Linked DNA regions of Saccharomyces cerevisiae S288C. Changing the gene in region 3 together with the main gene of any one other region gives a genetic interaction. Each region holds a gene or a part of one and is shown on either strand. Other genes may lie near its edges. The genes, in order: RNH201, SLX1, ESC2 and NAM7.

Evidence for each region.
Region 1: mutations in ESC2 (region 3) and RNH201 together harm fitness more than expected from each alone (negative genetic interaction), as found in Saccharomyces cerevisiae (6 studies listed by BioGRID, with this or other methods).
Region 2: mutations in ESC2 (region 3) and SLX1 together harm fitness more than expected from each alone (negative genetic interaction), as found in Saccharomyces cerevisiae (8 studies listed by BioGRID, with this or other methods).
Region 4: mutations in ESC2 (region 3) and NAM7 together harm fitness more than expected from each alone (negative genetic interaction), as found in Saccharomyces cerevisiae (5 studies listed by BioGRID, with this or other methods).

What each region holds. Positions count from the first base shown.
Region 1 is NC_001146.8:488,423-493,000, reverse strand, and holds RNH201 (ribonuclease H2 catalytic subunit RNH201), read right to left. Parts: upstream 2,685-4,578; coding exon 1,761-2,684; downstream 1-1,760. Other genes in the region: LAT1 (dihydrolipoyllysine-residue acetyltransferase), read right to left, coding at 30-1,478; lysine--tRNA ligase MSK1, read right to left, coding at 2,885-4,578.
Region 2 is NC_001134.8:669,485-676,727, reverse strand, and holds SLX1 (endonuclease), read right to left. Parts: upstream 1,416-7,243; coding exon 501-1,415; downstream 1-500. Other genes in the region: glucan 1,3-alpha-glucosidase ROT2, read left to right, coding at 1-371; MCX1 (Mcx1p), read left to right, coding at 1,594-3,156; YBR225W (uncharacterized protein), read right to left, coding at 3,399-6,101; TDP1 (tyrosyl-DNA phosphodiesterase 1), read left to right, coding at 6,431-7,243. UniProt on the Saccharomyces cerevisiae protein: Catalytic subunit of the SLX1-SLX4 structure-specific endonuclease that resolves DNA secondary structures generated during DNA repair and recombination.
Region 3 is NC_001136.10:1,197,241-1,205,095, reverse strand, and holds ESC2 (Esc2p), read right to left. Parts: upstream 5,914-7,855; coding exon 4,543-5,913; downstream 1-4,542. Other genes in the region: pre-rRNA-processing protein ESF1, read left to right, coding at 1-599; CDC40 (Cdc40p), read left to right, coding at 886-2,253; proteasome regulatory particle lid subunit SEM1, read right to left, coding at 2,699-2,968; transcription factor TFIIIC subunit TFC6, read left to right, coding at 6,399-7,855. UniProt on the Saccharomyces cerevisiae protein: May be a substrate targeting component of a cullin-RING-based E3 ubiquitin-protein ligase complex RTT101(MMS1-ESC2). Involved in HMR and telomere silencing via the recruitment or stabilizing of the SIR (silent information regulators) complex.
Region 4 is NC_001145.3:426,212-431,333, forward strand, and holds NAM7 (ATP-dependent RNA helicase NAM7), read right to left. Parts: upstream 3,417-5,122; coding exon 501-3,416; downstream 1-500. Other genes in the region: ISF1 (Isf1p), read right to left, coding at 3,868-4,884. UniProt on the Saccharomyces cerevisiae protein: RNA-dependent helicase required for nonsense-mediated decay (NMD) of aberrant mRNAs containing premature stop codons and modulates the expression level of normal mRNAs. Also capable of unwinding double-stranded DNA and translocating on single-stranded DNA.

The DNA.
Region 1 (4,578 bases), on a different chromosome or scaffold from region 3:
TACTGGCGAATTTTATTTTCATTCTAACCTCACAATAGCATTTCCAAAGGATTTTCAATAACAGTTTTCAATTCCTTCATGAATTCTGCACCTTTGGCGCCATCAATGGTTCTATGATCAAAGGTCCCTGTTATGGTAACCTGGTTATCAAAGGAGAATCCGTTCTCAGCAGCGGCGTCTTCCACAGCGACCCTTTCAACAGTAGCGATGGCCAAGATTGTAGACTGTGGTGGGTTGATAATCGAAGTAAACATGTTAACAGCATTATTCATGCCCATATTGGATATGCAAATGGTCCCACCTTGGAATTCCTCTGGTGCCAATTTGTTTATTCTGGCACGCTTGACTAGTTCCTTGATTTCGTTAGAGATTTGCGACAAGCCCTTGGCCTCACAATTCTTGACAATTGGTGTCAATAATCCTGTTGGTGTGGCAACAGCGACTGAGACATCGACATTCTTGAATTTACGGATAACGTTCTCATTAGGTAACCAGTAGGCATTGGCATCTGGCACCCTCTTAGCCGCAACAGTGATGGCTTTTACTAATAGGTCATTAATGGACAGTTTGTACTTGTCGTTTGCTGTAGCGTTCAAGGACTGTCTCAATTTCAAAAGTTTGGAGATGGATATCTTGGAGGAAACGATGTATGATGGAATGCCTTGAGTAGATTGCAATAAACGTTCTCCAATGATGCTTCTCATGGTTGAAATTGGAACATCCTCATATGATGCTGTAGAAGAAGGCGATGGAGCAGAGCCAGCAGTAGTGCTTGAGGTAGCGGCGGCAGGAGTGGCGGCGGCAGCACCACTGGTTTGAGAAGACTGCTTAGACGACTTTTCTAGATATGACTCAATGTCAGCCTTGGTAATTCTACCGCGGGGTCCAGTGCCGTGAACATCCTTCAAAGAAATACCCTTTTCCAAGGCGATAGTCTTGGCAAGTGGAGAGGCAAAAATCCTACCTTGAGGAGCAGCAACGTCAGATTTCTTAGCTTCAGGTGCAGAAGTCTTGGTCTCTTCAGCTGGCGCTTCTTGTTTCTTTTCTGCCTGTGGTTCGGCAGGCTGAGCCTTCGTACTGGTCTTTGAATCAGAACCTGAATCCTCCAGCTTAAAGTCCTTAAAAGCTGGCACATCAGCTTTGTCCTCCACATAGACGGCAATAGGCTTGTTGACAGGAATGTCCTTTGTACCTTCAGGAACTAGAATCTTGGCTAAGTAACCATCTTCTTGGAACTCAAAGTCCATTTGAGCCTTGTCTGTTTCTATTTCGGCAATAACTTCACCGGGAGACAATTGGTCACCTTCCTTCTTAGTCCAAGCAGCAAGATTACCTTGCGTCATCGTAGGAGACAGTGCCGGCATACCAATAATGGTGTGCTCTGGGTACGATGCGTAGCATCTCAATTGCAGTCTCAATGATCTGGTGAGTACTGAACTTCTGGATATTCTTGGAACCACCCTGACAAAGGCAGACATAGTACGCTAATAACTATTAATTTTACTGGATGCAGTTTACAGCAATGGAAGATGTTGAGCGTGAACAAACAGGAAACGTAACAGCCTCTCTTCTAGTCGTTCCGGTTGGTTGTCTCGACCTCTTGTTGTTCTTTGCGTAACACGGGGGGTGAGAAGGGCCGGTCACGCTTCACGGATAGTAGAAACGGCAAAGCATAGTAGCAGATGACTTGTATGAGTTATTGAAGTTATGACATATGTAGTATTACATGAAGATATATAGTATGTGCAAACTGGAGGTGATCACCGGTACCAATTATCTAGGGTTCTCAGCCTCTTCCTTCTAACAGGCTTAGCGACCATCTGGAGCTGCAATTGCTTGGTTTTTTGTGCGGCGTTCTTCCTGCTGTCCATATATTGTTCTTCCCACTTGATAGGGATACTATTCTTACTGGCGTCATCTAACAGAGTCTGGCATGTCTGCCATGAGAATCTTACCATGTTGGCGGGCCAGCCCATAAGACTTGTCTGGTTGCGCTTCAGCCATGCGACTGTCTTCGGGTCGGAGGGGTATCCAGAACCCAGGATCTCATCGGGATCCCTCTTCAAGGATTCGACTAGTATATCTCTGGTCACTTTTGCAACGACACTCGCCACACTGACCATGCAGTAGAGCGAGTCTGCCTTCTTGGCGACCGTAAACTTGACACCAGGAAATCGTTGCTCCAGTTTCTTCTGATAGGACGCTGGTGGTCCAACAGTATCCACATACACGTGACTGAGCTTCACGTTCTGCTTTATCACGCCATCAATGAGTGCCATTGTGACATCGTGCGCCTGCTCATTCAAGTTATAGTTTCTCGTCGGTGGGAACTTGCTCATTCCTCTAGAGATATCCAACGGAGTGATGCACGTAGTTGCGTAGCCGATCTGGGTTAGTTCTTCGTTGTCCTGGTATATCTTGGAAAACAGCATTCTTCTGATGGGATCTGTAAGTTTTTTAGAGTCGTCAAACTCGTAGTTAGGGATTATAGTTTCGTCCTGATATTTCTGTGTAGAATAGGCTACTGCGTAGACCATTGGCCCTAATACGGGCCCTCTGCCAGCTTCATCGATACCCATTATTATTGGAGAGTCATTCTGTTCCAAGAGCGCGCTTGGGACAGGTGAAAAGTACGACTTAGTGTAAGGAGACTCCAAGGATGCTTCTACCGTGGGGGGTACCATTTAATCGTATCAATTTGGTGTGCAGTAGTTGTTTTCAAGGTTTTTCGACACTCTCATTAGCTATAACTGAATATTTATATTGGATTTTTCGCGTAGCGTAGTTTATTGGTGTAGAGAAAAAAAAAAAATTAAATGCCATTCTAATTATTTACAGTATATGTCTGATTTATTTACAAAAGCATTGGCAGGCGTCGCAAAATTTACTGCCTGTTTACATCATCCACACAGCCAAAGGGCAGAACCTCTTCTATCCTCTTCTTGTCGCAAAATAGCATGCACAATCTATCTATGCCAAGGCCAAAGCCACCTACTGGAGGCATACCGTATTTCATCGTCTCAACATACTGGTAGTCAATAACAGGCGATAAGGTCTCAGTTTTGTTTCCTGTCAATTCGTTAATCTGCTTTTGTTGTAGAAACTTCTGCAGTTGTAATTGGGGGCAATTTTCCTCTTCGTAAGCATTGATGTATTCCTTACCTTTGATGAAGACTTCGAATCTCTTCGTGACTTGCTTATTTTGCGGATCCGTCTTGGCTAAGGGCGATAATATTGCAGGTTGATGGTATATTACCGTAGGCAAGGTTGATTGACAATGGCGCTGCTCGAGGAACACGTCCGATAGTTTATTTAGGATTTGCAGCGAAGATAATTGCCCAGTGTTATCTGCAGAAGGAAAATACTTCTTCGCAATGTCTTTCGGTAAAGCCTTCAAAAGTTCGCTCGGCTTATTGATATCCAATCCAGAGTTCATTAGATCAATGCCAAGCTCTTTGTTCAAAGTGGGCAGGAATTCGACTTTTCTAAACTTCCAATTATTCTCGGATAGTGCCAGATGTAATTCACTAAACGTCTTAGGGACAGGCAGACGGGTATCTTGAAAGAACTTTTGCAAGTTAGTAATCAAAAATTTGAACAAATCTTCAGTCCTTGTGACTATATCGTCCATTGACATGTAAGTTTCATAGAATTCTAAAGTGGAAAACTCAGCATTATGCGTGGAATCAATGCCTTCGTTTCGAAAGACCTTTCCTATTTCGTATACTTTTTGTAAACCACTAATTATAAGCCTCTTCAGCCATAATTCTGGTGCAATACGCAACTCCAAATGGTCGAAGTCCTTGGACGACGTTATAAAGGGCTTCGCCATGGCACCGTTGGACTTTGATGACAGTATAGGCGTTTCAACCTCAACGAAGTTTCTGTCGTCGAGAAACTTCCTCAAAAGTTTGATGATACGCGCCCTTACTAGCAGTGTCTGAGTGCCGTTTAATTGGTAGTCAACAACTCTATTAGATTTGATCTTGGTTTCATCATTCAGTCTGGAAGGTAACGGCAGTTGCGAAACAGACAATACTATAGGTAGCTTATTACATATCAAGGACAGCATCTTGACTCTGGATTGGGAAAACCCGGGATAACCGAGCGCCTTAATATAATCTCCTTTCTTCAAAAAGTTCATATATTCTGAGAAATTCGCCTTATCCTCACTACTCCCACCAATTTTATTGTAGTTTACGATCAACTGCAGTTGCGTATCATTCTTCAATCCGCTACTGCCGTTGTAAAGATCTATAAAAACAATCTTCTGGCCTGAAAACCTAATGCTTTTAATCCTGCCATTAATACTAAGTAACAAATTAGGATTATCCTCATGGTGTAATGTGGCTGGGTTGCCCAAGAATCTCTCATTAAAGTCTGCGATAGTGACTTCTTTATACTCCTGGCAAAGATCGTGGAGTGCTGATTCTGACATTGACGGATAGTATCTACCCAGGTCCTTCACAATCTGACCGTTCCTCCTGGTTGCCTCCATCTTACTTGTGTCGACCGCGTGTGCCAGAGAATACGGCCTGCTCCTGCTACTTCGACACTTGCACCACAGCCATCTCGGTG
Region 2 (7,243 bases), on a different chromosome or scaffold from region 3:
CCCCTGATACCGAGGGACGAGCCGTTGGAGATCTTTATGTTGATGATGGAGAAACTTTTGGCTACCAAAGAGGTGAGTACGTAGAAACTCAGTTCATTTTCGAAAACAATACCTTAAAAAATGTTCGAAGTCATATTCCCGAGAATTTGACAGGCATTCACCACAATACTTTGAGGAATACCAATATTGAAAAAATCATTATCGCAAAGAATAATTTACAACACAACATAACGTTGAAAGACAGTATTAAAGTCAAAAAAAATGGCGAAGAAAGTTCATTGCCGACTAGATCGTCATATGAGAATGATAATAAGATCACCATTCTTAACCTATCGCTTGACATAACTGAAGATTGGGAAGTTATTTTTTGAGGGAAAAAAACGAAGTGATATCTTTACATCTTTTTAGCTCTTTCTTACAAAGTAAACGTAAAAATATCCGTAAATATAACATATAACCATTATCTATAGAAAAAAAAGAACCGAAAATTGTGTCAGGCCCTACTTCCCGTGAGCTAACTTCATTCTTGTCGAAAACTTGACTAGGGTCGTCCAGTCGCAAAACATATCACATTTCGGACATTTCCCACCTCGAGGTATCAAATTTCTTCTCCCTACCATCAACTGTTCATCATCTAGAAAGTACCTGTGAAGACATTTCAAGTGGTTAACACACCCACAGTCTTTATTATTGCAAAGCGCTACAAACGGCTTCAGATTTTGCTCTTCAGACGTGTAGTCAATTTCTTTCTCACAAATTTCACATCGCACTACCCCTGTAGTTAGTTTCTTTTCGAAAGTTTCGAATATGTTTCTTTCATTTTCAATGACTTTAGTGTATACAGCTTCCACCACTTTTAAATTCTCATCACTATGATCCATGAGAACATCCACAGTTTTCTCCTTTGGTTCTTCAAGCGCATTTTCATTTATTTGTATATTAATCGGAAATCTGTCTCTTTCAATAAAAAATTTGTCCTGTTTCCAAACCTCCCAAGCCTTTATATTAAAAACCTCGACTATCAAGTTCATCCTTTGAAAAAATTCATGCTTTAAAAGTAACTTCATTAATGCAACTTTGTGATGTAAAGTTCTTCCACCTGCTTTATGCTTTACAACACGATCTTTTTCGGCAATATAATGCGTTTGGTACCCATGTTGCCATGCATGTTCAAACTGTAAAGCTGCTATCTTACTTGGGAAGCCCCGCACAATCATTATCATTTCCCAGGGCCTTGAACCGTCACGTTTGGTTCGATATGCCCCTCCAACAGCCAATTTCCCATTATGCTGCCTCAAACGTCGTACTGGGTTAGGAGTTGATCCAACGTAAAATGATTGCCTCTTGTTAATCGATTGTAGTAGATAACAACAATAAAAATCAGGAAACTGATGCTGCTGTATTTTCTGCGACATGGTACCTTTCTTATCTTTTTAATATTTTTTGAAAAAAGAGAACATTAATTTGACAATATTTTTTCGATGATAGAAGGGAATAAGTCATCAGTGGTATATATTAAAATTAAAAAGAAAAGCAAACGGCTCATCAAACAAAACCATAGAAGACAAGGCACTCTAATTACATTTCACACTCATGTTGAAATCTGCAAGCCAAAACTTTTTTAGAGCTTATTCTAGTAGAATTGGTCGATATGCTGCTACAGCATCAGGGAAACTGGCACAGTCTCGTTTATCGAATATACCCACTCCAAAAGCATTGAAGAAATTCCTCGATGAGTACATTGTTGGTCAAGAGATTGGTAAGAAGGTTTTAAGCGTGGCAGTTTATAATCACTATTTAAGAATCAATGACAAGCAAAAGAAAGGGGAATTACAAAGGCAGAGAGAATTGATGGAACGAGAGAAAATCGCGGATGATAGGGATGAACCAATTTTCAGTGGAAACAGCGAATCAAAGGCTGGTTGGAGGAATCTTCAAAGACAGTTTAATTTAGCAGGTAGAGAGGTTGACGAAGATTTAGAGTTAAGCAAAAGTAATGTCCTTGTCGTTGGTCCCTCAGGTTCTGGTAAGACTTTGTTGGCAACAACATTGGCGAAAATATTAAACGTTCCAATTGCAATTACAGATTGTACACAATTGACTCAAGCAGGTTACATAGGTGAAGATGTTGAAGTATGCATTGAAAGATTGCTCGTAAATGCTGAATTTGATGTTGCGAGAGCAGAAAAAGGTATTATTGTTCTTGATGAGATTGATAAACTAGCCAAGCCTGCCGCAAGCATTGGCACTAAAGACGTGTCCGGAGAAGGGGTTCAACAGTCATTATTGAAAATCATTGAGGGCCATAAAGTGGAAATTACCGTTAAAAGGCCTGTTAAGCATGATATTGACGGACAAAAAAATCAAACTACAACAAAGAAGGACGAAGTATTTGTTGTAGACACTTCAAATATTCTTTTCATGATTATGGGAGCTTTTGTTGGTTTAGATAAGCATATTGTTAAAAGGATAGAAGATATGAAGAAAATACAGAAGGCAGGAGAGTCTGTTGAATCATCGAATAGTAAAGAAGTTGAAAAAGAAAGAGCGAAGAAGTTCAGATTTAGCAATACGCTTGAGCAGGTTGAATTAGATAACGGAAAAAAAGTGTGTGCTTTAGACTTGACCACCCCCACAGATTTAGTTAGCTTTGGTCTAATTCCTGAATTAATTGGCAGAGTCCCAATTATAACTGCTCTGCAGCCTCTACAAAGAGACGATTTATTTCATATATTAAAAGAACCTAAAAATGCCTTATTGGATCAATATGAATATATTTTTAAGCAATTTGGGGTAAGATTGTGTGTTACACAAAAGGCGCTAAAGAAAGTTGCTCAATTTGCTCTCAAGGAAGGAACTGGCGCCAGAGGGTTGAGAGGGATAATGGAAAGACTTCTGCTAAACGTTAATTATGATTGCCCGGGTTCTAACATAGCATACGTTTTAATCGACGAAGCTACTGTCGACTCGTTACAGGAAACAGAGCACTCTTTGGCTTCCCAAGTGGACGTAAAATACTATTCTGGTGATGAAAAGGACAGTTTAATTCGTGACGTTTCTGAAGAAGATAAAAAATTAGGAGTTATGCTAGAAAAAGAGTTGGGTCATTCTGCTAACATTCATACCCCAACAATTCCCAAGAGAAGCTTAACATAAAAAAAAATGAATGGTATAGAATATATAAATATAGATGTAATAAATGTAGTAAATGAACAAATAATCTTCCTACAAAGTACTATGCCATGGGAAGTAAAAAAAATTAATAAATATTGGCTAAAGTGTTTCAAATTGGTTCTACGATACTGGGAGACTACTCCTTATCATAATGCTTTTTGTCCAGTAGTAAAAATTGAAGTAATTCTTGAACAATTTAAAAAAAAATTGGAACGGCGGCACAATTATTTGGTATATGGCAGCTTTGGCTTTTGCGCCACCACATACAAAGTTCTAAAGCAGCCAGCGTTGTCATCGATTTTTCCTATGTGTTCTTCCACATATCTTTTGAAAAGAGTGGTGGGGTCGGTATCCTTTGGAGGACAACTACTATCTGGTAGTTGCCTCCTTAACATGTAGTCCCACATATCTAAAGAATTAAATTCATTCAAAAAGCCCATATCTGTTTTGAAGTCACCAGTTTTCAAACTTAGGACCGAGGACTTGATGCCTGTAAACCCTACATCCTTGAATGTCCTCGTTAAGTGTTTTGTAGGATGGATATGTAAGCCTTTATTTATCGCATCAATAGCCATAGCATCAAATGTCTTGTCCCGTTCTTTTGTAGTCAAAAACTCTTCTGATGAATTATTTGCTTTTTCGGCATCGGCGTTGCCAAGAATTCCAGTATAGTATGTGTTTGAAATCCTTAAATCTGGAACAATTGCCAGCGCGTACCCGCCAGGAATTATTGATCTGTATATTTCCCTAAGTAGAGCTTTCCATTTATAATAACTTAAACTTGTCCAGACCCACGGGCATATTACAGCAGGTATAGTGTCTGATGCAAACGGCAGTCTTAATTTTAAATATTCTTTACCATAAATAGCTGCGCTTTTTGCCCTGTCAAGTCCTTCATTTGGAAAGGAGTTATCCGAATTAGAGGATATTGGTGATGACAAAGGTGGTTCATCTTCAGGCTGAAGTTGTGCATTAGAGGACCTCTTCACTTCCTTTGGCAAAATAAATTGGGTCGGTAAATCGATTTCTTTGTAGTTGTTCAAAGTCCGGCAAAAAAAATTCTCCAACCATTCATTTTGATGTGCTTGGTTGGCTGATTTGACATGGGGAGCTTTCTCTGTCCGAGGGGGACTAGAGATATGTGACTGTGGTTGAATTTTTGGAGAAGAAGAAGAAGATATGCTAGGTGAAACTGAAGGGCTTGTAGTATGTGAAGTTGATGCAAGTTGAGAATGCTTTCTCTTGAAAAAGTTGACGAAACCAGATTTTTTAGTAGCCTTGGTAGGGCTCTTCTTCCTTTTGACAGCATCTGCTCCCGAGGACGGCAATGATAAAGATCTACTTGAAGCGAATTGGTCGTTTAGAGGGTCTTCCTCAACTCCCTGATTGAAGTTGTTTCTAGAAATACGTTCTTTTGCATCATCTGTAAAGAACTTTCTATTCATGCAATCATACATATACTCTGAAGCATTGGAAGAATTCAATTCGATAACTTCTTGTTCGTCAGAAACTATTTTCGCTCTTGAACCCTTTCGTGGCAAATAATTTTGTAAGTTTGTTAAATACTCAGGAGCAATTTCACTAGCATTCTTATTCTGAGCGTCATTGTCACTGCTGTCAATCATCCAGGGAGATAAATCTAATGCGAAATCTGCGATGTTCAAGCTTGGTTCATCATACGCCAGCTGCCAACCGCCCAGGGTTTTATGCAGCGGTCTTATTAATAAGATGTCAATTTCGTCTAATGGATCCGATATTACTGGCCTTGGAGAGTTTGCTTCTATATCTAACTGCTGAATATATAATGTAGGGTCACTGATCTTGTTGCTGGTGGTGCTGATTGTTGGATTAGAATGTTGTCTTGTGGTTGGTTTTCTTTTTATTAGTTCCTCCACTACTTCAGATGAAAAGAAGAATGAATTTGATTGCAGTAAAAATTTTTGAGATTGAGCCAACCATAATTGAATCAAGGATTCAATTTCAGAATAATCTTTTAACGGGTCAAACGATGGAAAGCATTTAACCTCAGTCTCTATATTTATGATGTTTTCAATGTTAAATGGATAACATTCAAATGCATATTTCCTAGATTCCAAATATTTTGTTAGGAAATCAATGTACGACCGTAATCTTTTCTTGGCAAATATTAAAGAGTCTTCTGGCGAGGAGTCCATGTTAAAAGATAGAAACAAGTCCATTCTATTAAAGAGCTCATTATGATTCGGGTCGTACATTATTTGTTTGAATTCACCGTCTATGCAAATGTTGATTAAATTATGATTTCCTGAAACGGTTTTGATTAGAAGAGAAGAATCTGATGCCGGTAAAGTGTTCCAGTCCCATTTTTTTCTAGAATGGAGTTTCTTGACAACGTTCGAAGTTGCACCGTGTAGACCACCACCTCCCCGGCCATTGCCGACCATATTGGATACAATGAATCGCGGTGCAGAAGGGTCTGGTGAGTAATTAGCTTTCACTTCGGAAGTCGGAGTTCCGCTTCTATGACTATGTTTATTATTACTTGTATGATGATGATGTAGACCTATTTTGGAAAGCTGAGCGGACTTCAGTTTGGATACTGAGGATGAGGCAGCGGAGTCAGATGATCGTCTTGACGAGTTTGAGAACAAGTCATCCGCCAGTCTAAAGTTTGGCAAATGTAAGGGCGAATCAAAGGACGAGAGCTTATCTGAATGATGGCTTACTTGTGGTGAGTGTGATTCTACTGAACTACTTGATTGCGTGGTTCCATTTCTACTCTCTTTTTCTTGTTTCCCCTTTTCTTTGTCAGCATTTTTATGTTCAGTAATCATTGAACTTGTATGGTTATCATGTGCTTTTAAGTTGGAAATTTTGTTACTGGTTATACTGGTTAACCCCCTATCATTCTTACTATCAATGTTTTTTGCTTCCTTATTGGAGCCCATTGTATTTACTTGAGCAGTTTATAAAAAGTGGATAAATGAGGGGAAAAATAATAAAAAAGAAAATTGAACAATCCTTCAATATGTGTCCTTTAATAATTACTACTACTTTACACACTTCTCCAGTAGCTGCTGCTTGTTTCAGGTGATGTGAACAACGTGTTTCAGCGTTCTTGGTAAGTGTTGGTATGGATCCCTTCTGATGTATTTTCGGCGGCCGCACTAAACTGCGAAAATGGTAATTTAATAAAGGGCTTATAAAGAGGAAAATAATGCAGAGAAACGGTGAGCCCAGACAAGAATGATGATAATGTGTTTTCAACCGATCATTAATGTCACGAGAAACAAATTTCAATGGAACTAAGAGGAAGAGGTCGGATGTTGCCGAGAAAGTAGCACAACGGTGGAAGAGCGTCAGGTATAGTGCTGAAATGGAGAATATGGCTCCGGTCAACAGTAACAATGATAGCGACGACTGCGTCATAGTCAGTGAATCGAAAATCATTGATTTGACTAATCAGGAACAAGATTTGAGTGAGAGAATAGAAACAAACGATACGGCAAAAGGTGCCGTTTTTAAACTAATGAAATCGGACTTCTATGAAAGAGAGGATTTTATGGGAGAAGTAGAGGATATGATTACATTGAAAGATATCTTTGGCACTGAGACACTAAAAAGAAGCATACTCTTCAGTTTCCAATACGAACTTGATTTCTTGTTGAGACAATTCCACCAGAACGTAGAGAACATAACCATCGTCGGCCAAAAGGGTACTATTATGCCTATCGAAGCCCGTGCTATGGACGCGACACTGGCAGTAATATTAAAAAAGGTCAAACTTATTGAAATAACGATGCCCCCATTCGCTTCCCACCATACGAAGCTGATCATAAACTTTTACGATAATGGCGAATGCAAAATATTCTTGCCATCTAACAATTTTACGTCAATGGAGACTAACCTGCCTCAACAGGTGTGTTGGTGCAGTCCCCTTTTGAAAATAGGTAAAGAAGGGCTACCAGTACCGTTTAAGAGAAGCTTGATAGAATACCTCAATTCGTACCACCTGAAAGACATTGACGAATTGATTACAAAAAGCGTAGAGGAAGTTAACTTTGCTCCTTTGAGCGAATTAGAATTTGTA
Region 3 (7,855 bases):
AAACGACTATAGAGAAAATAAGAAGAAAAGAGAAGGAACGTCGTAAAGCAAGAAAGCAGAAAGTAAAGGAATTGAAACAGCAGTCGGAGAAGGATAAGAAAAGCAAGTTGAAATCTGTTAATAAAAAGCATACTAACGATGAAGAGGAGATCGAAAAGAATGCCAAATCAAAGGCTGAATTGGAGCTTTTAATGGATGATGATGATGATACCGAAACTCAGGGCACAATAAATAACAAAGCACATTTCAACATGAACGAAATCTTAAGATCAGAAAAAGAAAAACACAAGAAAGGCCGGTATCAAAAGAAAGAGAGAATTGTTGAAGACACCTTTACACCTGATTTAGAAGATCCTAGATTTAAAGAAGTCTTCGAAGATCACGATTTTGCTATCGACCCGACCCAGCCTGAATTCAAAGGTACACAAGCTATGAGTAAAATCCTAAAAGAACGTAGTAAACGTGTTAAGAATAAGAAAAGAAAACTTGGCGGTAGTGAAAACAATATGACCAATAACGCAGATGATAATGAAGATATTGGTAACTTGGTAAACAAGTTGAAAAAGAAAAGCAAATCATCCAAGAAGGTAAAGGTTTAAAGCAGTCAATGAAATAGTATTTAAATGAAACTTGAATACAAATAGATATGTACAATTATAAAGAATGCATCATTGGATTTGTAGTTGATATCAATTATCGTAATGTTTCTCTGACCGGTTCTTGTAATACCATTTCTTTGAATTTTCTTTTTTGTATTTTGTCTTATTTACGAGGGAGTACTGTGTCCTTGCTAGAGATGAGGTAAAAAAAAAATCTTGAAATTTTTCCTTTATTTTTGGCCAAATAGTGCAACAAACACGGCATGTACTTTGAAGAGCAGATGAAATGGGTTTAGTAGACGGTTATGACACAAGCTCAGACTCTGATTTGAACTTCGACGAAGGCAAATCTGTTCATGAAAAGAAAAATGGTAATTTGCATGAAGATACTTCGTATGAACCTTCTTCAAATAATATTCATAAGAGAAAATCACATTTTACAAAGTCAGAACTAAAAAGAAGACGGAAAACTCGCAAAGGAGATGGGCCGTGGGGCAGTTGGTCAAGTAGTGACGATGAAACTTCACAAGCCAGCGAAACTCAGAAAGAAGATCAGGATATCTTCGTGCACGCGCTGGCTGAGGACAACCTAGATTCGGAACAGATAGAGGTAGAGGAAGTCTCCCATTTTTATGGTAAATCAGAAAAGGACTATCAAGGCAGAGGATATTTATATCCACCAAATGACGTCGATGTTGATCTTCGTGAGGAAAGGATATCCTTTCGGTGTTACTTACCAAAAAAAGTTATACGTAATTATCCGGGGCATCCAGAAGGAACCACTGCCCTGAAATTCTTACCTAAAACTGGACACTTAATTCTCTCTGGTGGTAATGATCATACTATAAAAATTTGGGATTTCTACCATGACTATGAATGCCTACGAGATTTTCAAGGTCATAACAAGCCTATTAAAGCATTACGATTCACCGAAGACTGTCAATCTTTTTTGAGCTCTTCCTTTGATAGAAGCGTTAAAATTTGGGATACTGAAACTGGTAAAGTGAAAACCAGGTTGCACCTTAATTCAACGCCTGCAGATGTTGAATCTCGGCCCACTAACCCACATGAGTTCATTGTAGGTTTATCGAATTCGAAAATATTACATTATGATGATCGTGTTTCAGAAAATCAAGGTCTTGTGCAGACATATGATCATCACCTAAGTAGCATTCTGGCTCTCAAGTATTTTCCCGATGGTTCGAAGTTTATTTCTTCTTCAGAGGATAAGACGGTAAGAATTTGGGAAAATCAGATCAATGTACCAATAAAACAAATAAGTGACACGGCTCAACATTCTATGCCATTTTTAAATGTACATCCGTCTCAGAACTATTTCTGTGCACAAAGCATGGATAATAGAATATATTCTTTCAGTTTGAAACCCAAATATAAGAGGCATCCAAAAAAGATATTTAAAGGGCATTCATCTGCTGGTTATGGGATAAGCTTGGCTTTTTCTGGTGATGGTCGTTACATATGTTCAGGCGATTCAAAAAGCAGACTATTTACTTGGGATTGGAATACGTCGCGCTTATTAAATAACATCAAGATTCCAGGCAACAAGCCTATAACTCAAGTGGACTGGCATCCTCAAGAAACAAGTAAAGTCATTTGCAGCGGAGCGGCAGGTAAGATATATGTATGTGACTAGCTATTCACTCGGAATGTTACTTGAAACAAATTAAATGGTTACATGGATGTGATTTGTTACTTAATTGTTATTACGGATGATATTATTATGATAGTAAAAATGACAATAATAAAGAAACGATTGGGGTTACCTGAAATTGCAAGTACTAGTTCGAGGACACATTTGCATCATATGGTAGAAAGAGCGGATCTTAATATAGTTAATTTTTTAAACTGAGACTGCATTTAAAGAAATGAGAAATCTCAGCTGAGTTATTTAATACTTTGCGTGCATCATTATTATACTACAAGGCCATATAATCGACTACCGCATAGCCTTTCGTATCTCTTTTTATTATTTATTTTATCATCTAAGCAAAATATACTAGTATGACAACAATGTACTAAAGTAACATTAGACGTATAATTTCCTTTTGCGTTATTTAGAAATAATGTTATGTAGCCCCTCACTGATTTTCCCGTTTGTATCTATCCAATTCGGCCTTCAATTCATTGGTGAAATCGTCGTCAACTTCAACATCATCCCAGTTTTCTTCCCATATGTTTGTTTGCGTTACAGCATTGCTTTTTATTGTTTCACCATTGGCCCATGTGTCAATGGGGAAATCTTCAAATTCATCGTCTTCCTCTAGAGACTTCTTATTTATTTCCTCATTTTTTTTTTTTGTTAAATCTATTTTACTTTGGGCTTGTGCAGCAGCAACGTCCGTACTCATATTTTTGCGTATTTGTACTATTATTCGACTTTTATTGCCACTCTATTCACTTTATGCATAGGTAGGTTTCCATTAGGACTTTAAAAGGTAACGCCCACCACGTTCGCCACCCATAGCACTAGTTTCGTAAATAATGATAATATAATGGATCCGACAGAACTAAGAAGCTTTCAGCCCTTCAAAATCCCTACTAGTAGGTTACAAAGACATGAGGAAATGTTGATATAATTTTTATTGTTTTCTTTAGAAGGTTAGTTTTAAACACAAACCCGAAAAAAAATTTATAACATTTTGAATGTGTTATTAGCCCTGTAGGGGGCTCGAACCCCTAACCTTATGATTAAGAGTCATACGCGCTACCGATTGCGCCAACAAGGCTATTTATTTGTGACCTTTTAAAGGTTAAAAAGGGATAATACATATAATTTCTCAATATCAAGATGCATCATCATGTATTAAACTGAGAAATAAGTGAATTCTATGAATATTGAGATAGGGTTGGGATTGCATTGTTGGAAAACAATATTTGGTTATCAATTCTTGCTTTTCAACTTCTACTAAAAATGGTAACTGCTTGTCAATCTTTATGTCAACTTCTTAGGTTGTATATGATAGTTTACTAATAATATGAACGTTAGTCGGGTATATGATGGTTGATTCTTATTCCAACAATATCAAACACATCAGTAATTTTCAATCACTTTAAAATATATTGATATAAACCTTTTTTCCATATAAATGTATTCACATTTTTTGCATCCATGATCACTGTTGGTAAAGTACGCCCTATTTATAGAAATACGTAAATAAGGAGCAATCGATAAAGCATGTAGACCAATATAGTGTTGAGATATTTGTCGGATCCCATCTTGGTGTAAGTAATAGTACTATGTGTAACAATAGTGGGTGAAAGCCATTCTTGATGGTTTAGAGTTCAAAAAAGAAAATCAACAATTCTGCACAGTACCATATTTATTATTTTTCTTCGTTTTCACCTAATCACTCATTGATGCAGTTACACTACCAATTCTTGCCCTTCAAATCACCTTAAAGGATGATGGCTTGAATTTTATTTTCTGCTGATCTCGTAATTTATACAACCTTTTAGCGTTGATATCATAATATTATGATGAAACGAATTATTTTAATTGACTGCTGTAGCAACAATAGAGAAGTAGTTTACCTCTTGTTCCAAGAAAACTATAGCCGAGGAAATATCAAATTGTTTTGATAGTTGTTCTACGTTAGATGTACTATTCAAACCTAGCACGAAAAAGCTGAAGAGATTTTTGTATTCATTAGGCGATCAAATTTTTATAGAAAAGCGTTAACATGTTGAGTTAGAGATGGAAAAATTCCTTTATAATATTTCACGGAAGGTAGAAGAGGGTCAGCACCTACTTTTTGAACAGAGAATTACCCGAGTATGATTTAAACACAAAAGGTCTTATTCAATTATATTCAGAAAATATTTTACAAGTACCGCAAGCACCACCAACACACCCGCCGCCCATAGTAAATAATAATTGTGGCACGTAAAGAGCCGGAGTTCGGCCTTTTTTAGCAAATTGCGCTCAATCAATAATGACATCAACCATGTCTTCATCTTCCATATCCTGATCGGCTATACACTCATTCATGTCCAATTCATCATGATCAAAAAGTAATTTAACCCTCGTCTTTTGTGGTAACTGTTTCTGGATTCTGTAATATTCGGCAATTTTAGAAAATGGTGTTGAACGCCTAACATGGACATAGATTTTTTTGTTATCTTGACCCATGAGAGCGATTCTCATAACTTCTTCCATGCTACTACTATTTCCTGACAAAGAGCCACCCTCTTGCAGAAGTTTTGTATTCATAACTGTATCATTTTCTTTTATTTCTTGTGTTTCTTCTACGTTTTTTAATTCGGATTCAAACTCGCGATATTCGGACTCTTCTTGTTCATTTCTCTTTTTCTCTAACTTCCTTTCCATCTCCTGACGTTCTTTTATGAGTAAAGCAGCTTCTTCTTCCTTTAACTTTGATTCCAGTGTCGCTTCAAAGTTCTTTTCGTATTCTTTGGATACGATAGTAACATCGATATCAGAGACTTCATTTTCAAAATCCTGTGGGATATGTAGCGAATTACAAGTCATAAAAGTGAGTAATTTTGCATTGTTCCAATAAAGAGTAACATTCTCTACCTTGTATATATCTTTCATTACCTTCGGAATTTTATAGGACTTCATCAATCCGTCCAAAGCAGCAGGAAGTATTTTTGAAAATTCGTATTTTCCGAGGACCTTCACTTGGACCGCTTTATTTATAGTTCCTTCTAGCTTAGAGAGAAATTTGATGTTATAAACTCGCTTCCGCTGGTCGGGTGTCGATTCTTTAGAAATAGTGGTGCTTTTTTTGGCTTCTTTAGCAAGTTCCTTGAAAAAGTCATCGTTTTCATCATAGGTATACAGTAATGAACTTTTCTGTCGCTTGTATTTTCCCGCTGGAGATATTGATCTTATGCTTGACCTGGACCTTGACCTAGATCTGGGAAAATTTTTGTCTTCGTCTAAGTCAGATTCAGATGAGTTTATTTCAACTACAGACTCTTTCATCACAGATCTTCCTCTAGTTCGACCCGATGGTTTGTCTGGCTTGGGCTCCGTAATATCTTCTATATTTACATTTTTACTAGATGATCTGCTCAGGGACTGATGTTGTTCCTTTGCGTCGCTATCTTCACTATCAGATAATGTTAGAGTTGAATGCTTTGATGGCGGTACCGTGACTTTAGAGTCAACTATGACACTTTGCCTATTACTTTCATCGCTATGATCGATTTCATCTATATCATAGGAATTGTCCATAAAGAAGTCATCGCTGTTTTCATCAGAAAAACTTGTATTATCTGGATCTAGATTAATTGAGGGTTCGCTGATGCTTCTGGAATCACCGGTCATCTGTTAACAGCCTAAAACAAATGATTTTTTCTCTTGCCTTTTATTGTTCAGGGCTATAATCCGTGTTCGCAATCACTTTAAAATGAATTCTGAAGTAATAATGAAAAGTTGTTCTATTTCAATTGCGATATACGCTGTCAAAGTGATATATGGTATTGGGAATTCATAGGCATGCTGGTCCCTCCTCTGCCTGTCATTTCTTTTCTTATATGCTACAATAAAATTTGCTGTCTTCTGTAAGGAAATAGAAGGGATTCAGTATCACCCGGAAAGCTGCGGTTCGAAAACCCTACGTTGCAAAAGAAGATAAACAACATTCCATTTTTTGTTCGAGAAAGCCTGGATGAGTTGTTAAAGCTTTGATTTCTACTCAGTAAGAGCAGTTTCATGTCCTAAAAACTAAAGCTAGTACTCTTTGATCCATTAGCGAAATTTCTCTAACTTGCTCCATTGCGATACGTGTAATAATATATTAAGTTGTGGCGATGGCAGTAATACCGGCAAAGAAAAGAGGAAGACCTAGAAAATCTGTGGTAGCAGAAGTTCCCTATGATAGCTTGGCAAGCCCAGTATCTGAAAACTCAGGCAGTAAAAGGCCGAGGAGAAACGCATCTAAGAAAGCAGTTGCAAATTTCGCACAATTAGTGCATGCTGGTCGCGATGATGTGATAAATACTACACAAGTCAATAATGTTGATGACACCGACGATGATGATTTTGTATTGAATGATGAAGGTGATGGTGAGGAAAGTGACAATGTTGAGATAGAATTTGAGAATGAGTTAGAGTCTACTAAAAATGAGGTGGCGGATTTAAACAGTAGTGGAAGTGGAGCTTCTGTTAGACCCAGTGGAAGAAGAAATACTGTACAGAAACTTCGTTTGAAGAAGAATTCGACTAAAAATATGAAGAGCAGCTCCCCAGGGTCAAGTCTAGGACAGAAGGGCCGTCCCATCAGGCTCCTAAAAGATCTTTCGAGTGCAAGAGACAAGATTGAAAGAATTTATGGACTGAATAAGGAAAAGTTATTGTTGCTAGCAAAAGTTAAGGAAGGCTTTGAAACTAGCGTTTTCGATTTCCCATTCAAGAATATTCAGCCTGATTCTCCATATTTTGTATGCTTAGATCCACCGTGTAAAAAGGAAAGTGCATATAATAAAGTCATAGGGGATAAAAACAGAACCGTATATCATGAAATTAATAAGACTGAATTTGAGAATATGATCAAATTGAGAACGAAGAGATTGAAGTTACTTATCGGGGAAGTTGATGCAGAGGTATCCACTGGCGATAAAATAGAGTTTCCGGTGCTTGCTAACGGCAAAAGGCGCGGCTTTATTTACAACGTAGGAGGATTGGTAACAGATATTGCATGGCTTAATATAGAGGAAAATACTGATATAGGCAAGGATATACAATATTTAGCCGTCGCGGTATCACAGTACATGGATGAGCCTTTGAACGAGCATTTAGAAATGTTTGACAAGGAGAAGCACTCCTCCTGTATACAAATTTTCAAAATGAATACTTCTACTCTACATTGCGTAAAAGTTCAAACCATTGTACACTCATTTGGTGAAGTGTGGGATCTTAAATGGCACGAAGGATGTCACGCACCTCATCTGGTTGGCTGTTTATCATTCGTAAGCCAGGAAGGGACAATAAATTTTTTGGAAATTATTGATAATGCAACCGATGTTCACGTGTTTAAGATGTGTGAGAAGCCTTCTTTGACTTTATCCCTGGCAGACAGTTTGATAACTACTTTTGATTTTTTATCTCCTACTACTGTTGTTTGTGGCTTTAAGAACGGATTTGTAGCAGAGTTTGACTTGACTGATCCTGAAGTGCCTTCATTTTATGACCAAGTCCATGACTCCTACATATTATCCGTTTCAACAGCCTATTCAGATTTTGAAGATACAGTCGTCAGTACAGTTGC
Region 4 (5,122 bases), on a different chromosome or scaffold from region 3:
TACTCTTTTTTTATTTTTTTTTTTTCTTCCACTCAGCTATTAGATTATTTATTATTTTATTATCTGTGGTATCATTTTCTACAGCCATACCTTGATTTTAGTTTATTTTGTTGGCAGTTATATACATTTATCTTATAGAATACATATGCACGTATTAAACAATAAAAAGAACATAAGCAAAAATGAAACCTCGCTACAATAAAACTTTATTACGCATTGCAGTGCGCCGTAAAGAGTATTCATTAGAAGTACAATGGTAGCCCTATTTGGTTGCAACATGTTTTAGCAAAGAGATTAGTAGGCTAGGATATCAAGTCCATGCCCCTTTATCACATACTGTAATGATAGATGCACCTCCGGAAAAGTAAAAAAAGTTTTTCAGGTTACAATTGTGCAAATTGCGAGTCTATCTCGAATAATTTTGCAGCGCTCATTTCACGGTTGAGCCGTTTTGTATCACAAGCCAAGTTTAACATTTTATTTTAACAGGGTTCACCGAATTATATTCCCAAATTGCTGAAGTCTTTTGACAATTCATGCTTTTGTTCTTCTCTCTGTAACTCTCTCGCGAAGTTAGAGTTCAAATGAGAAGCCTCCTCCTGGTACAAATTTCTATCGTCAATTTCATTGCGATTTTGCTTTTGAGAAAAAGCACTTTTAAAATTCTCAAAATTCCAATATTCATTATTGATGTAAGAAGAAAGTTCTGTGTTGTCAACAAATGCATTACCAAAGTCCCCAATTTGACCACTGAATGACACCATACTCTGTGCATCAAAATCCTGGAACTTCGGAAAGTCACCCATTTCAGATTCTACGTTAAATTGAGCGTTCATTGGCCGTTCAGTCTTTCTTGGCTGAGGACGAACTAATTGAACAGTGCATAACTGTAAGTTATCCAACGTACCTTCGACTAAACAACCCTTCTCTCTGAAGTGGATTAACAGATGGTTCCATAATGTGTTTCTTGCCAAAGATCTAGGATTACCAAGAATAACTAGACCATATTTGGCACGGGTTAGACCCACGTTTAGACGACGAGGATCACGTAAGAAACCAATGGCCTGTTGTTCATTGGCACGAACACACGATAAGATTATGTAATCCTTTTCACGACCTTGGAATGCATCAACTGAGGCAACTTCCACTTTGATATACAAATCCTTATCCAATGAACCATTCATTTGCATATATTGTAAAATATAAGCTCTTTGTCCCTCATATGGTGTGATAACACCAATTTGCTCGGGCTTGACACCGTCTCTGAAAAGTTTAGTGATGATTCGTTCACAATTCATGGCTTCAATTCTGTTTAAGAAGGAAGTACCGTTAGCAGAAATCTCCTCTCTACCGTAATTGGCCCAAAACATCATTGGTATACCGCGAATTGGCCATGGGAATTTGCTGTTGGGAACGGTACGCTGTTCAATCGTTACACCATTTTGTAGGCTGCCTTCATAAAACATGTTACTTGGAAACTCACTCAAATAAGGATTCATACGGTATTGAACTTCCAAACGAATCGGTACGTGGCCTAGAGAGATTAATCTTTCAAAGAGAGATTGTTTCAAACCAGCGTCTGCCGCCTTTCGTTCCAATATGACTGGGCCCAGTTGCTGGTGATCACCAACAAGTATAACTTGTTTCGCACCTTTAACGATTGGGATTAAACATTCCGGCTCAGAAGCTTGAGTACTTTCATCAATTAACACAGTCCTAAATTTAGTGTCTAAGCGCTTATCACCAGCACCAACACATGTGCAACATACGACATCTGCCTTATTGAGAATTTCTGCTTCTGTTTTCCTTACTAATTTAACAAACCGTTTTGTATCAGAAGCAGATAATTCGCCAACTTCATCCTTTAACTTTAATAGGTTTTTTAATTCCCCTTTAGCACCACGGCCAACCAAATTATGCAATGCTAAGTTGGAGACGGAACTCTCCACATCTTCTCTACTTTTCGCGGTAAGTCTAACAACTTTTAAACCCAAGTCACGTAATTTGGCAGCCAAATGATCTACAGCAACGTTTGATGGGGCACACACCAATATTCTATCCTTGTGTATTTTGGAAAGGTGATACACAATCGTTGCTGAAGTAACTGTTTTACCAGTGCCTGGTGGGCCTTGAATTAAAGATAACGGACGTTGTAATACATGACTAACAGCGTTCGACTGGGATGAGTTTAATTGTGCAAAATTCGGAATTGAAAACTCCTTAGGTAATGGGACATCAAATGAAATGTCAACCACTTGATGGCCTAAAATTTTATAGTACAAATAACCTGAAATAGATTTTTTATCAATGGCAAATTTTTTCAATGCGTCTTGCATCCTGTCATAAGAGGTACCTTTCCAGATGAACTCAGCAGTAAAACCAGTGGTCAAATGTGTTGGAGGTGGCGTTTTACTTGGTTTTAACTCTAATGTGAATGTGTCCTGGAAGCTATTTGGTAACCGAACAATGTAACCACGACCTTCCCAATCAGGATGTTGCATGCCAGAGTACCATAGTATCATTTCATCACCGATGGCAACTTTCAACTCGTTAGATTCGAAAGTAGATAAAGTGAAAGATGCTAAATGCCTATTATTTAAAGCTAAGGACCATGAAACAGAAATATGTTCTAAAGCTTGAGATTCCTTGAGTTGTTTATCATAGTCGGCCTCCAATTTGATTAAAGGCCCGTAAGATCTTTGGTATTCGTAGGCGTCTTGATATCTCAATAGTAAAGGTGGGATTGCTTCCTGTTCCTCTGGGGCGTCAATATCATTAATTGTAGCGTCTTTATTGGATCTCCATTTTGCCTCCAACTTGGAAATTTGGCTAGGAGTGATTAAACGAGCTTTCAATTTTTCTTCTTCAGTTGGTTGCTCTGCGACCCATGATAAAAGTTGTCTGTCTTCAATTAATGGTTGCCATTGATCAGTATCCCAGTTCGCATTTTTCGTCTGGGCACAAGGTATTCTACAAAGTAAAACAACCACGGCCTCACTTTTAGCGGAAACAAATCCCAATAAAAACACGTTCTTACGTCCACAGTTATAACATTCCAAAACGGTATCCCCTAAGTCAGAATCTGGATGTAAAGAAACTACGTTATGGTGGGATAAAACTAAGTGATTAACAATGTGGGAGCTGCTTGTACCGTTTTTAGTGTTACAAAACCATTTCTTACATGAATTACATTTGATGACACACTTTGCAGAATCTATACCACAATACGCACATGAATTGTCTGAAGCTGAAGGCGAACGGAATCCAGTCTCAGTGACTTGAGCCTCTTCAAATAGCTGATTATCTACATCGTCATCCTCCACCAAGGTGGAATTTAGTTGTGTTGCGGGTTGGACATTTACATCAGATGGAGAGTTTGATATATCATAAGGAGTGTGAGAACCGGAACCGACCATTTGATAATGACAATGATTGATGTAATATAAAAAGTATATTCGGTCTTGCTGCCCTTCCTTCTTTCCTGATGAAATCTTCAACGTTTGTTGGCTGACAAGAGAAATAGAGTCTTCTGTTAGTGTGCGTTAAAACGATGCCTCTTTTCGCTTTTTTTTTCTCCTTCACAATAGCATCGTAAGTTTCTGGTAAGCTTTTCATTTGATCAGTTAGTACGAAAGCGTATAAAGGTGTCCCTCCCAAATCAAGTAAGCAAAGGGAAACTGATGATACTAAAATAATGTAAATTAAGATTAAACTAAAGTTAAAAGTAAAAGCATTCACTCGTTTAATATTATTGAGTGGATAGTAACTAACTATGTATATTTTCTTTTTGTTTTTCTTATTTCCCGTTCATGAATTCATTAAAAGTTAGGCGAATTACGGAGTTCGCCAGATGCATATGTTTCGTTTTCAATTGGAGAATGAACTCGCTAGTGACAATTTTATGAATGATTTTCTCCTGGGATTCCTTTCCTCCAGGCAATTAGAAGTGTGAGGACTAGATTCTTCGTTAGAAGAAGCCACACTAGTATTCAATGAACTATTGGAAGGAGATTTCACCAAAGAGTTGGAATACGAGTTGTTTCTAGTCTGCAAGGGAGAGGAAGAGGAACCATTGGAAAGAAGCGAAAAGGATTCTCTTCTTAGATTTGATGGCGTTCGTTCTCTGTGATAGTGGTTAAGGTTTCCACTGTGACCTGGGACGTTATTTGATGATATTTTCCCATGGGAAATCAATTTTAGTCGATTATTCTTTTCGTTGGAGAGATAAGACGACGGATATGCAGCCGAACTTGAATTCAGATTCAAATACGAGTTGGAATTCGAGGCGGGTGTTGAAACAGATGTTAATGGGGAAGTGAGATCATTTGACTGGTCGTTAGCTACTGCTAGAGAGTCTAGCTCGGATGAAACGTATTTTTCAAGGCCGTATAGATGTGTTGGTATACCGTAACAGGAAGAATGCCTGGATCTTGGCTTTATGCATTTGTGGTCAAAACAGGAATCCGCCGCGTCGCCCAAGGAAGACTGTCTTGTGGATTGTCTGGACAACTGGTGAATGAGGGTGCTACTATTTGCTCTTATTCTTCTTGGAGAAGGGCGAATTGGTTCATTGGAATTGTTCGTTGAATTTGCTGGGACGAAGCCATACAAGTGATGCGGAGCTGTCTTGATTTTTCTCAAATGGTGGCCAATAGTATGATTGCCTATGTGTCTGCTTGTATTACCGGCATTGGTACTGCTGCTGTGGTGAGAATTATTTGATTTCGAGGAATTTTGAAAACTAAAGGACGCTAATTTGGAATTTACAAAATCATTCAAATCATTTGAACCTAAAAAACTTTGTACGTCTGTTTCATCTTCATAATCACAATCTTGACAAAATGGATCTTGTACACCTCTTTCAAAAATTTCTGAAGCAATCATCAAAATACAGCGACTATTTCTATTCTTTGATGTTTTTTATTCCACTGAGGAGATAATTATTCAAACTGAAATATTTTACGCAAACCTTTCTATTTATGTGTATTACCTTTAATCTAAGTGGTTGTAGCTCATACACTTATTATAATTGGTAGAGAAAGAAGAAAAGAAAAAAAGACAAATTTAAGTAGACTTGAATAAAAGTAAGATAGAAAGAGATGTGAGATTTTCAGATGTTTGC